Caenorhabditis elegans: one gene and its partners. The protein of the gene in region 1 purifies or fractionates together with the protein of each later gene. This does not show direct contact. Each region holds a gene or a part of one and is shown in the gene's direction. Other genes may lie near its edges.

The links.
Region 2: the proteins of C10G11.10 (region 1) and mrps-7 fractionate together in Caenorhabditis elegans (co-fractionation; one large-scale study listed by BioGRID). This does not show direct contact.
Region 3: the proteins of C10G11.10 (region 1) and gcy-31 fractionate together in Caenorhabditis elegans (co-fractionation; one large-scale study listed by BioGRID). This does not show direct contact.

Annotation. Positions count from the first base shown.
Region 1 is NC_003279.8:6,304,400-6,308,495, reverse strand, and holds C10G11.10 (uncharacterized protein), read left to right. Parts: upstream 1-2,111; 5' UTR 2,112-2,140; coding exon 2,141-2,159; intron 2,160-2,200; coding exon 2,201-2,265; intron 2,266-2,308; coding exon 2,309-2,438; intron 2,439-2,712; coding exon 2,713-2,954; intron 2,955-2,998; coding exon 2,999-3,088; intron 3,089-3,143; coding exon 3,144-3,238; intron 3,239-3,421; coding exon 3,422-3,464; 3' UTR 3,465-3,580; downstream 3,581-4,096. Other genes in the region: C10G11.1 (uncharacterized protein), read right to left, coding at 71-165, 215-307, 355-605, 846-975, 1,019-1,083, 1,125-1,143.
Region 2 is NC_003282.8:14,766,268-14,769,411, reverse strand, and holds mrps-7 (Small ribosomal subunit protein uS7m), read left to right. Parts: upstream 1-1,681; 5' UTR 1,682-1,686; coding exon 1,687-1,800; intron 1,801-1,845; coding exon 1,846-1,941; intron 1,942-1,993; coding exon 1,994-2,173; intron 2,174-2,219; coding exon 2,220-2,377; intron 2,378-2,421; coding exon 2,422-2,542; 3' UTR 2,543-2,639; downstream 2,640-3,144. Other genes in the region: Y57G11C.3 (Putative 6-phosphogluconolactonase), read right to left, coding at 349-1,122, 1,176-1,211; vti-1 (t-SNARE coiled-coil homology domain-containing protein), read left to right, coding at 2,756-2,970, 3,071-3,144.
Region 3 is NC_003284.9:2,424,434-2,429,474, reverse strand, and holds the start of gcy-31 (Soluble guanylate cyclase gcy-31), read left to right. Parts: upstream 1-1,970; coding exon 1,971-2,048; intron 2,049-2,465; coding exon 2,466-2,639; intron 2,640-2,749; coding exon 2,750-2,898; exon of another isoform or gene 2,899-2,990; intron 2,991-5,041. UniProt on the Caenorhabditis elegans protein: Synthesizes cyclic GMP (cGMP) from GTP. May play a role in embryogenesis.

The DNA of each region.
Region 1 (4,096 bases):
AAAAATTGGAGAACAGCTACTACGCACAATTTCTAGGTTAAAATAAGTTAAAATAAAGAAAAAAACTCACTGCATCACCTTCATCTTCATTGCACTTTTATTATTGTTCGGAGGATCACAAGATGGTTTTGGTCCGGGAGTCATTGCACGAGTTGGAACTGCAGGCTGAAATTTATTTTAAAACTAACTTAAATTTTTTCATTTACAAACACACCAGATCTGTAGATTTTGGCATTTTCATGTCAACAGATTGTTTCTTAGTCAGAGCATTGTTGTTTGTGGTAGGTGGCTGTGAAGCCTCGAATTGCTTCAAAAAATATTATTGCTGGATGATCTGAGAGAAAAAAAACTTACGTAGCGAGAAACCCCAATCTGCTTTTCATTTGGCGCCAGGAATACACGTTCCGGAGCAATCGCACTCTCTTTTGTTCTTGTTCGAGGTGCCTTCGCTGGTGTCTTCAGAGGCGCAGGTATTGCCGCATCAACAGGTTTTTTAGGTTTTGTTTTGAGTGCAAGTTTAGCCAACGGATTCTCTTCATCATCACCTTCAAACTCATCCTTTTTCTCCACTGGTGCCTTGACGGTTATGTTGAATTTAACGTCATCTGGAAAATTATTATCTCATGTTCCCATCGCAAACCGCAAAGCCGCGTTTTTATCATAAGCCATTTTTATAAGTGCATGGTTGTATACTACTTGCCTACTTCATGCCTACACGCTTATTCCATATTTTAACCTATAAGTTTGCCTTTGTACGTGCCCTTTACACATGTTTTGTTCTGTCTTCGGGTTTACTTACTGGCCTACTTCATGTCTACTAAAACTGCTCAAGTATCAAAAATCACCATCATCAGAATCCGGTTTAGTAGGAGTTCTCTGTATTGGTGTTAAAGCCGGTGAACTAGACTGAGTTGTTCCAACATTTGTGTTTGTCGGAGATACGGATGGACGGTGTGGCTCTTTCTTTTTCGACGACTGAAATTTAGTTTTTATCACATAGATTTGTTGTGAAACTTACGCAGAAAATTAAAATCAATGGTACCAACAGAATGGGAATCAAATGACAAATCAAGGTTAGAATTTCTGAAAGATATCATCAGAATCTGTTCAACTTGCCAACCTACCTAAACCAAAAACGACCATATTTTTTGGTGGAAATTTAGAAAAACTTTACGAAATGATTTGTTTTTCTTATCAAATGCACAATCTCTTCATTTTTTTGCTCTAATCATTTTTTAAAATTTCACGTAAATCAATTTCTAGTGTTTGAAGTGTCGCTACTATAGAAAATTTTTGAAAAATATTTTCAAAACTTTTTGAAATTTTTTTATAGTCCAAAGGTTGAATTATCTCAGTTTTCCCCCCAATCGTGGAAGTCTACTAAAACTGGAATTTTTTCTACAAGCTTAACTACTTATGTACTAAGTTTCAAATGTAAAAACGAATGTTATTTTGTCAAACTGCAATTTTGAATAAATCATAAATCGACTTATTTTTCCCATTTTTGAGAAATTTTATTCAACGAAAGAGTCAATGCCAGTTTTGTTAATTTATACTCAATTGGTTAAAAAAGTTCTAAGTGTAACTTTCTGAAATGTGTATGATTTTTTTTCAAACTTTCTGTCAAATCATATGTCCTCCACAATTTTTGCTAGCAGATTCCGGCGTCCCCCATAACCAAAAACAGAAACCCCAGAAGTGAATGAGTAAATAATGATACAATTGATTCTCAATGTCAGACTTTATTTTCAAATTACGAGCGCTCCGGTATAAAATTCAAGGGACGAGAGGGGCGTCCTCATAACAGCCCTAACCACAGTCTTATTGTGAGTCGGTTTCCATCATATGGGAAACCTGAAATATTTCAGCACTTTCCTGTAAAAAAATTTCAAAGAGTTTTATAAGATTTTGCTATAATTGGCTTTATGGTTATATTTTTAGAATTGTTAGAGTAATGTTAAAAATTTGATCCACTGGCGATCTACTTCCCATTCCAAAAAAAAAATTATTTACGTGAAATTCAAGAAAACAATTGATTGAAAAAAGATTTTAAAAAAAGATAACAAAATCAAAAAGATTGTGCATTTGATAAGAAAAACAAATCATTTCGTAAAGTTTTTCTAAATTTCCACCAAAAAATATGGTCGTTTTTGGTTTAGGTAGGTTGGCAAGTTGAACAGATTCTGATGATATCTTTCAGAAATTCTAACCTTGATTTGTCATTTGATTCCCATTCTGTTGGTACCATTGATTTTAATTTTCTGCGTAAGTTTCACAACAAATCTATGTGATAAAAACTAAGTTTCAGTCGTCGAAAAAGAAAGAACCACCTCGTCCAATCGCATCACAGACCTCAGCTAATGCTTTAGTACCACAGTCTAGCTCACAACCTTCAACTCCAATACAAGCCCCTCCTATCAAAAATGAAGAGGATGATGGTAATTTTTCGATACTTTGAAGCATTGTCAGTAGGCTTTGGGTAGGCCGTAGTCAGGCAAGAATGGGCAAGTAGAGTTACTCAATAGTAGACAGGCAGATTGGCAGATAATAAAAGTAATAAAGTAGGTATGGAGCATGCATTTAAGCAGGCAGGCACGTAGGCAAGTGTGAGGTACACTCGTAGGTAGGCACGTTAGAAGCCATGATGACAAAACGCGAATAATCGGGCGTCCGGTTTGTCACGCAAACATGATACAATAAGTGACTTTCCAGATGACGTTAAATTCAACATAACCGTCAAGGCACCAGTGGAGAAAAAGGATGAGTTTGAAGGTGATGATGAAGAGAATCCGTTGGCTAAACTCGCAATCAAAACAAAACCTAAAAAACCTGTTGATGCGCCTGTGAAGACACCTGCGAAGGCTGCACCTCGAACAAGAACAAAAGAGAGTGCGATTGCTCCGGAACGTGTATTCCTGGCGCTGAATGAAAAGCAGATTGGGGTCTCTTGCTACGTAAGTTCTTTTTTATCATTTTTTCTACATAATCTTTTTTGAAGCAATTCGAGCCTTCACAGCCATCGACCATGAACAATGCTCTGACTAAGAAACAATCTGTTGTCATGAAAATCTCAAAAGCTTCAGACCAGGTAAGCTTCAAAAGAAAAATAAAGTTAAAGTTGAAATTTTAAAAATAAATTTCAGCCTGCAGTTCCAACTCGTGCAATGATTCCCGGACCAAAACCATCTTGTGATCCTCCGAACAATAATAAAAGTGCAATGAAGATGAAGGTGGTGCAGTGAGTTTTATTTTAGTCAGAAAAGTGAAAAAAAAACAAGATTTTGAAAACTTTCCTAATTCACGTGCTTGTCTAACCGAAGACGATACTTTTTTAAACTGATTACAATTGATCAGGTGGATGTTATAGAAAATATAAAATCCACATTTATCTGACCTCGTTTTAGAAAACAATTTATTTCAGAGAACCTACTTGCAAAGAATTGGCTGTCGAGAAAACTCAATGATCCTTTGATGTTTCCATTTTATAAAAAATTCTTGTCTTGTCTAGTTTTCTGTGTATAAGATTTGTTAATTATTATATAATCCTATAGTTCTGTATTTCAATAAACTTGAGACATCAACTCTGTTTGTTTTTCTGAAATTCTCAGCAATTGTTTAGTGAATTTCCTATAAGGAGCGAATTAACGAAATGAATCAAAATAATTAAAAGATACTCCAAATCATTTATTCAAGTCGAATTCTTCGAAAATTATCTTCACAAACAAATCGACTTCCAAAAATATAACTGAAAATCTCAAAGACATGCCCCTGTTAGAATTTGCATTTTAATGACGACAACTGATTTTTTTAAATAAATTTTAGAAATAACTAAGCCCTCAAAACTATGATGTACTTCTGTGACTTTTTTGTTCAAATCAGAAATCTTGACGCAAATGAATGTGCATTTTTGCGGAAATAAAGTCAGATGATTTCTTTATTATAATATTCATCTCTAGATGCGTCATAAATGAGTGTATTGATGTGATCTAACAAACCTGATGAATAAATATAAATAAATAACGTTATTTCGATTTAAAATTTTAAAACTGTAAGATCGAAAAACATGAAGCGTTTGAATGTTAGGATAAAAACTATT
Region 2 (3,144 bases), on another chromosome or scaffold:
TCGAAAAAGAGAATAAAACGAGCAAATTCCCCGATCGATCCTGTAGTTTTTTGAAGTTCCGCATCTAAAAAAAGTAATTCACGGTAATGAACCGTTTACAATATTTTAGAAAATTGAATTTCATAAATTCAAAAATTGCAATTTTATTTTACAGTTGGAGGAAATCCGGAAACAATTTAAAACTTTCACGACGATTTGAATTTTTTTTTGTGGTTTTTTGTTTCTCTTTGATGATGGCCATAATTAAAGGAATAAGGAGGAATGCGACTTAATGAAAAAAATAAGAGAAAATTACAGAGAAAAAAAAAAGAAATTAGGTATATATTTTAATATCACACAAGATGCTGCTCATCCGTCAAACGGTGGAGGAGAGTCAGAATCCGACGAATCTCTATCCGGTACACCAGTTGCTGCGTCTTCATCGAGGAATAGTGTCAATTTGTCGTTGAATGGACGTGCTTGAGCGGCCGGATACTTTTGATCACGATCACAAATTCCTCGTACAATTTCCGCTTTTTGTTTCCCGCAAATGATGAAAGCAACGTTTTTGGCGTGTTGAAGAGTTTGCAAAGTAAGTGTGATACGAGATGGTGGAGGTTTCGGGGAGTCTGTGATGACGGAAACCCAATTTAGCTCGGTAATCTTCTCCAGCCGCTCCTTTCCAGGGAAGATACTTGCAGTGTGACCATCTGGACCAACTCCAAGGAAAAGAATATCGAAACGAGCAGTATTGTTGAGCTGCTCCGGGAGCAAGTATTTACGAAGACTGATTTCATAGTGTTGGGCGGTGAGGCAGGGATCCTTGAAAATTTGCATGGGCACAAAAACGTCTCTGAGCTCATTCGGGAATAATCTCAAATATTCTCCCTGATTACTTTCCTCGCTATCCAGATCAACGTTACGCTCATCAACCATAAAAATTCGAATCCTCTTCCAATTCAGCTGCTCTTGTGGCAAAGAGAGAATAGCTTTCGAAAAGACTCGTGGCATCGATCCACCGGAAACTCCAATACTGACTGTACCATTTTGATCTAGAAGATAGGTGAGCTTTTCCTCGAGATAACGACGCAGCTGAAGGATGAGCTCCTTTTCGTCGCCAGAAACGTTGAGCGCCGGCTTCATCTGAAAATAATTTTGTTTTATAAAGAATAAATACATTTGAAACGAGATTTTACATTGCTATTCGATACGAATTCGTTAACGAGACACATTGATATTCTCCACGGAATGAGCGGGGGCTGAGTGAGCGGAAATACTGAAAAAGAAGCAAGAAATAAAATCGTTTATGACATGAAAAGGATTTCTCTTCACGAAATAAACCAGGTTTATTTTAAAAGCTAAAGGAAGGTGTCATAAATAAGAAAAAGGAATTTTAATTTATTTAAACTGTATTATTATTATTCAGAAAAAAGCCGATGAAAACAGGAAAAAAACAAAAAGTGATAAATGTCTAGCAACAATACTCCGAAATGCATGCGCGCCCAGTTTATTGAGACGATAGACTATGCAAAAAGACGAGACGCAGAGTATGCAAGCATGCTCCACTGCACTCTTGTGTCGAAATACGAGCGAGTCCACGGATTTTCCATTGATTTCCGAGTTTTCTTCGCATATTTTTGCAGTTTTCAAAGCTTCATGATTTGCAATTTAATTATCAAATACTTAATATTGTTATTTGTAGTAAATATGACCACAAAACTGGCGCGATTCGCTCAAAAACGATGGATTTCTTCGACGACTTCCACATCAAATATGTACGATCCAAGAGTATTCAGAGATCCCGTAACGAATGTTCAAGAGGTTAATTTGTTTGTTTTAATCTATAAATCTTAACTATTATTTTAGCTCCGAAAACCATTGGATTCGGATGATGAGCGCAACTTTTTGTTCCTCAAAGCGATGAAAAGTGATGCGACACCAGTATTTTACAGAGATCATGTGGTAAACTTGCAATGCTTTGAATATTTTTTTAAAATCAAATACTATTTTAAAGATCGACAAACTAATTCGAGTGTGCACAAAAGACGGGGAAAAGGAGACTTCTCGCAAGAATGTGCTCAGCGCGTTGGAAATCATCAAGCGCCGGCAGTACAAGGCATGGGCAAAGGCTTCCGAAGAAGAGAAGAAAAGTATCGAATTAGACCCATTTCTTGTTGCGAAAAAGGGAATTAAAGTGAGAATTTATATTTTATTGACTGGTTAATTAAAAATAAATTCAGAATTGTCATCCTCTCATGAAGCTTCAAGGTGTAACCCGAGGAGGAACCACCTATCAGGTTCCATTTCCAATTGAAGAACCAGAAGCCGAGTTTCGAGCAATGAAAATGATGAGAGATATTTGTAGAGTTCGATCGAAACATGGAGAGACACATTTCAAGTGGGTTAATTTCTATTTTTAAATTATAATTTATTTAATTCCAGAGACATCCTCGCGACCGAGCTTCTCGCCGCCAGTCAAAACGAAGGATCAACGATTCAAGCGAAACAGGAATTGCACAAGACTTGTGAAGCGAATCGGGCATATGCACATTATCGTGCCTAATTATTCATTTTCTAGACATTCTATAATTAGCTTAGATTATCGTTTCTCTTTTGTTTTGTTACTTTTTTTTGTGTTTTTAAACTTTTGAATTGAATTGAAAATATCGATTTATTTCTTTCCGTTTTTCCGAAAGGCAATCATTATACCTTCAATACCTTTTATTTTAAAATTTGCTTTCATTAATTACTAATTACCTACCACCAGAGCTTCCAGATGTCGAACCAATCGGCAACAGTTGAGCAGCTCAGTGGATTCGAAAAGCAATATTCGCTTCAAACTGCGGAAATCACCTCGAAAATCGGCCGCGTGCACACTCTGCCATCGTCCGATCGAGCCGGAGCAGTTCAGGAAATTCGAAAAAGTTTGGAAGAAGTGAATGATTTGCTGGATCAGATGGAGCTGGTTGTTAGGGAGTTGGAGTCGAATACGTTAGTTTTTTTGCTTTGATTAAAATTGTAATTAACATAAAATTTGCAAAAAGAGAAAAAAAAACTGCGCCGCAGGGCTGCAAAATTCAGTACTTTTCAGAACTGAACGCACAAAATACGAACTTCGTGTTCGAAGCTATCAAAGTGACAAGAAACAATTGGACACAGAGCTGG
Region 3 (5,041 bases), on another chromosome or scaffold:
ATCTTTTCAAAATATTCTTAAAAAATTATTATTGACAGCCAAAAAATGACAATTAATTTGCCACTTTTTGAGAAAGTAATAGTAATATCGCAAGTTCAACTCCCTACAGTGTTTGAATGTTATTATTTGAAACGTCAACCAGAACCCTCAAAGGAGACAATTTTTTTGATCGACGACTTCCAAAAAAGTGGAAAACTGGCTCAAGTCTGAGAATATTTTGAAGGTACAGTTCACTATTCCTATGGTGCCAAAATAACAAGTTAACATAGTAAAATTATTTATAAAAAATGGATTGTTTTAAATTTATAGTCAAGAAGTGAATATTACTCAGTTTTTGTCATTCATAATTTTTAGAGTCGACCAGAAAATTTTTTCTCCTACGGTTGCTACACTTTAATTTTGTTTTAATTATTTTTGTTTTTTTTTTTTTGGTCGTTTTGAAAAATTTTATTCAGACTAAATTCCTACCGGAACTACCCCACTTTTAACCGTTCCATGAATGCTAAAATACTCTTCCATTATGTACTTTTGTTGGCAGTCATTTCAAGCGATTATTGCTTTTAGTTTCTCAGTACACCATCATGGTTCATACAATACTGTTGACTGCTGGCAGCTATACGGATAATTCCTGCTAATTTATTTGGCATAACGATGTTGCCAAACTGTACTTGTGGCAAAATTGTTTTGAATTTTCATGTTCTTTTAGTTGAGACAGCATAAAATATTCCAATTTTTTCCATTCCATAATATGTTCTGTTTACTGTACATTCTGTGACGAGCATTTTCTTTGTCTGACTATTCGAGATAGAAAGAAAAAACAACAAAAACATTGTGGACTGTTCTTTGTTCACCTAACACTCTTCAGTGAAAAACGCTATACATTTGTACATTCAGCTTCCGATTTGAAAGCGAATCAAAAAGAATAAAACGCGAAACTTCTTTACAACAACACAGGCAATATTGCTTTTTTTCCGTTTGCAGTAGCCAATTCGCTTTGAAGATTGATTTGGATAGGCAAACTTCCAAGGGCAACTGAAAAACACTCCAGTCAAGGGAACGGGAAAGATGAAAATTAATGATGCGGGTGTAAATGAAGATGGGAAAGTTTGGCGGGAAGGTTAACTAGGGGTTACTTTTTGGCTGAAAAAAATGGGGGTTCGGAAATAGAGCCAAAGGAAAAAAAATATTGATGTGAAAATTTTCAAATATTGAAAATCAAATTTAAAAGGATGGACCCAAAATCTGCTCAAATAAACAAATGTCGTAGTATAGTTTCTCGAAAATTTTTCAAATATTTTTATAGCCGCTCAAATTTTCACAAAAAAAATTAGCCTGATTTCAGCTAAAATCTCCAATTTTGGCCACTTTTTTTTCGATTTATCAATTTTGACTGAACTCGGTAGCTTTTAGGCCACGATAAAGTTTAGTCCACGTTTGGCACAACCTTTGCCAAATTTTGGCCCGAACTTCTGTTTTTTTTTAGCGTGGGCAGAAGTTTGACAAGAGTTGGGTCGCATGAATCCAAGTTTAGCCAAAGTTTAGCCAACTTCTGATCCAAGCTAATACTTTTTTTTGCCAAACTTGGACAAGAAGCTGGAGCCAATTGTCGAGTACGGAAGTGTTGTAAAAACTGGAAAAAATAGTTTTGAATCGTCAGAAAACTACTTAAAACAACTTTCGAAAAGTTTCGTTTCGAAATTTCTTCCTTTGAGAACATTTTTAGCATATACGTTCAAAATCTCTAACAACCTTGAAGCATCGTAAATTCTATATTCCCATTTTTAGCTTTACTCATTTTGAATTACAAGCTCAAACATTATACGAATTCTGAATCAATATGTGTTAGCACCGGAAGTGGTACGTGGCTATAGCAGGATCCGGCATTAATTTAATGTGATGAGAGCAGGAAATTTGTGTCTATCGCTTCCCCCGTCGCTATCAACATTTTCATTTTCAATTTTCACACCGCCATGTACGGCTTAATAATTGATCACATTGCTACTTACATTAAGGAAAAATATGGAGAATCTACCTGGTCAGAGGTTAAGGTAAGTGTTTCCCAACAGTTTTGCAGTGAGTGACCATGAAAGAAAAGCCATTCGCAACGAAGGTTGTGCAACCTCTCTAACTGGTTTCAAGGACGGTCCAATTTCTTGTTGGCGGTTCATAGGTCACCGAGATAGTCCATTTCCTGTTTGATAACATCTCCCTAGTGGCGGTGGCGTAATGAGCCTGTTATACTTAGAGTCGATAAGAACCCCCCCCCCCCCCAGGATTTTGGTCGGGTATTAATGTACCACTAAATGATATAGTGCTGACACATGTCACGACCAATCTATTTCGATTGAGGTTCTAGGTTACGGCAACTATCTTTGTACATGATTTATGCACCAATAGATTGCATGTTACAATGATTGTGTTGTTTTCTTCATTGTCAAGGTTATTTTGAGTTCACAACTTTTCAGTTCGTGTCGGGGGTCACCGACGATACATTTCAAATGGACAAAAAGTTTTCTGAAGGTTTATCTCACAAGTTGATTTGGGCATGTCATGATGTGACGGGGGATCCTGTGGATGAACTGATGACAAATATTGGAACAAGTTTTTACAAGTTTCTCACAAAGTTTGAGTTTAATAAGGTATACTATGTATTGTTTTACATACCTTATGTGAGTGAAAATTAAAAAAAATTGTTACCGTTTCGTTTTTAAAAAATACAGGTTTTTTTTTATCAGTCCAATTTTTCAAGGTACTACGCGTTTTGGGACGAACATTTCCGCAGTTTTTGAACGGATTGGACAATTTGCACGAGTACCTCCGTTTTACGTTTCCCAAACTCAAACCTCCGTCATTCTACTGCGAACACGAAAGCCGTACCGGTTTGACACTTCACTATAGGTTAGTGCTATAAGAGAGGAGAGGGGGGGGGGGGGCCGATGACAACTCATCATCAATAACTGGTTGTTTTGTACGCCGACTGGTATGCAAACCAAACCAAAAGTAACAAAACATTTAGTGCGTTTATTCATATTTTAGTTTGTGGACGTGGAAAGTGGTGGGGATGTTGAATTGTGAATGTGGATCATAGAAAAACGGGTACCTGTGTATTATGGGCACGAATTTGATTAATAAATTGAAATTTTATTCATTTGTGAAATTCTAGTCATTTTATTTAAAGGTAATTTAAAGGTAAAAGTAATGGCTTTGGGTATTTTGAACTAAAAGGCCCATTAGGTTTACAGGCTTAGGCTTACCGCATATAGGCTTACAGGCTTAGGCAAGGCTTAGGCTAACTTGCTAGAAATAGTTATAGGCTAGCTAGGGAACACCGTAAACTTAAGGTGGCCTAAAACATTGGCTTGAAACATAGGCCATTTGAAAGCTGAAACTGTAAACTCTAAGATTTTGATTTTAGTTTTTGCCCAAAACATCCTGGAAATGTTGAAAAGTAGAAGTTGTTAATCAGGAAACGTGTTAGTTGACAACTTTTTTCAAATCTCGCGTTTTTGGAGAGATACGACTAGCCAAAGTTAACGAATATTTGGCTTCGACAAATCTGAAATGGAAGTTTCTAGGTTGCCAAATGTGTTGTGCGAAATCAAAACTCAGATTCTTACAGATTACAATTTTAGCTTTCAAATGAGATATGTTTCATGCCAATTGGCCTCCGCAATTTTAAGGGGCTCTCTAGTCGTAACTAGAAAATGTTCATTTCAAAACTCGTGCATATACAAGATTCGAAAAAAGTTCAAAGATCGACATGTAGTTTGATGCTTGTAGCGGTGTTATTTGTTCACAAATAATTCCTTTCGCGACCGCTCAGTTTCCTTTGTGTCAAAATGTTGCAACTTGAAGATTGTGAGTAGTGCGTGAAAGACAGTGCACTCTTGACGATTGTTTCCTTCCGTCGTCGACAAATGTTTGATGATTCTCGCAGACCGAAATGTTCCTGGTTTGTCGTCGCAGCAGCGCGTGAAACTTCTTTTTTGTCTGTCTTGTTGTAAAATAGAGGGAACTTATGTGTCAGGTCAATGAGACACCCACCATACTCACATATGACCTAGAATTGAATACTTGCCCAGATACTTCTCAGAGAGTTCGTCGTGGCGGCAAAAACGCCCGATGACATATAATACGAACCCATTACTTTCGATTTGAAGAGGGATATGTCATGAATACCATTACAACGCGGATGTGATGATGTTAAATTGTACAAGAATTTAATCTAAAGTCTTTGGAAAGGGACAAATCAGAAATAGTTGGCTAGAAAATCGATAATTTTGGAAAACAAATATCCAATCTCAAAAAGATAGGTAACCTTATTTGATTTCGAATCGGCTAAAAATGTACCAAAATTAGAAAAAAAACGAGAAAAAAGCGAACAGAATGAGGATGTTAGATTTCAGCTCACTTTAATAATTTTTCTTTGAATTTTTTGAACTGCCATAAACTCGCTAATTCTCAAAATGGAATATAGTATTTTGCAATCAATTTGAGTTCCTGTTACAAAAGAAAAAACCACCCATAATGAACAAATGACGGTATACAAATTCGAAAATAATGGCTTACTTTTAGCTAAAATCTCCAGTTTTTTCAACTTTTCCGTAGTGCTACTGCATCTTTTATTACGTACTTTGATTGCTTATTTCAGATTATTTAGTTAATTGAAATCCATCTAACGCAAATATATATATATAACCGAAAATTGGCGAAAAGTGTTGCCCATCGGCTTCAAATTTATAAAATTGATCAACGAAAAAAGATGCAATAAAATATGGTAATTTCAAAAAAAAAGTTTTCTTCCAAAATTTGTGAGACGGAAATGTGGGAAAACTTGATATTTTAGCTAAAAGGCCCATAAAAAATTTGAAAACTTTTTTGAGAAGTCTCATTTCAAAATTTGTACTTTTGAGCACATTTTTGGTATACATACATATAAATTCGGAATTGTTTGAACCGTTCCTTTAACTTGTTTAACAACTTTTCAATAAAACTGTCAGCCTTCGTGAAGTTAGCACAGAGAATTCAAATTATAAACCAA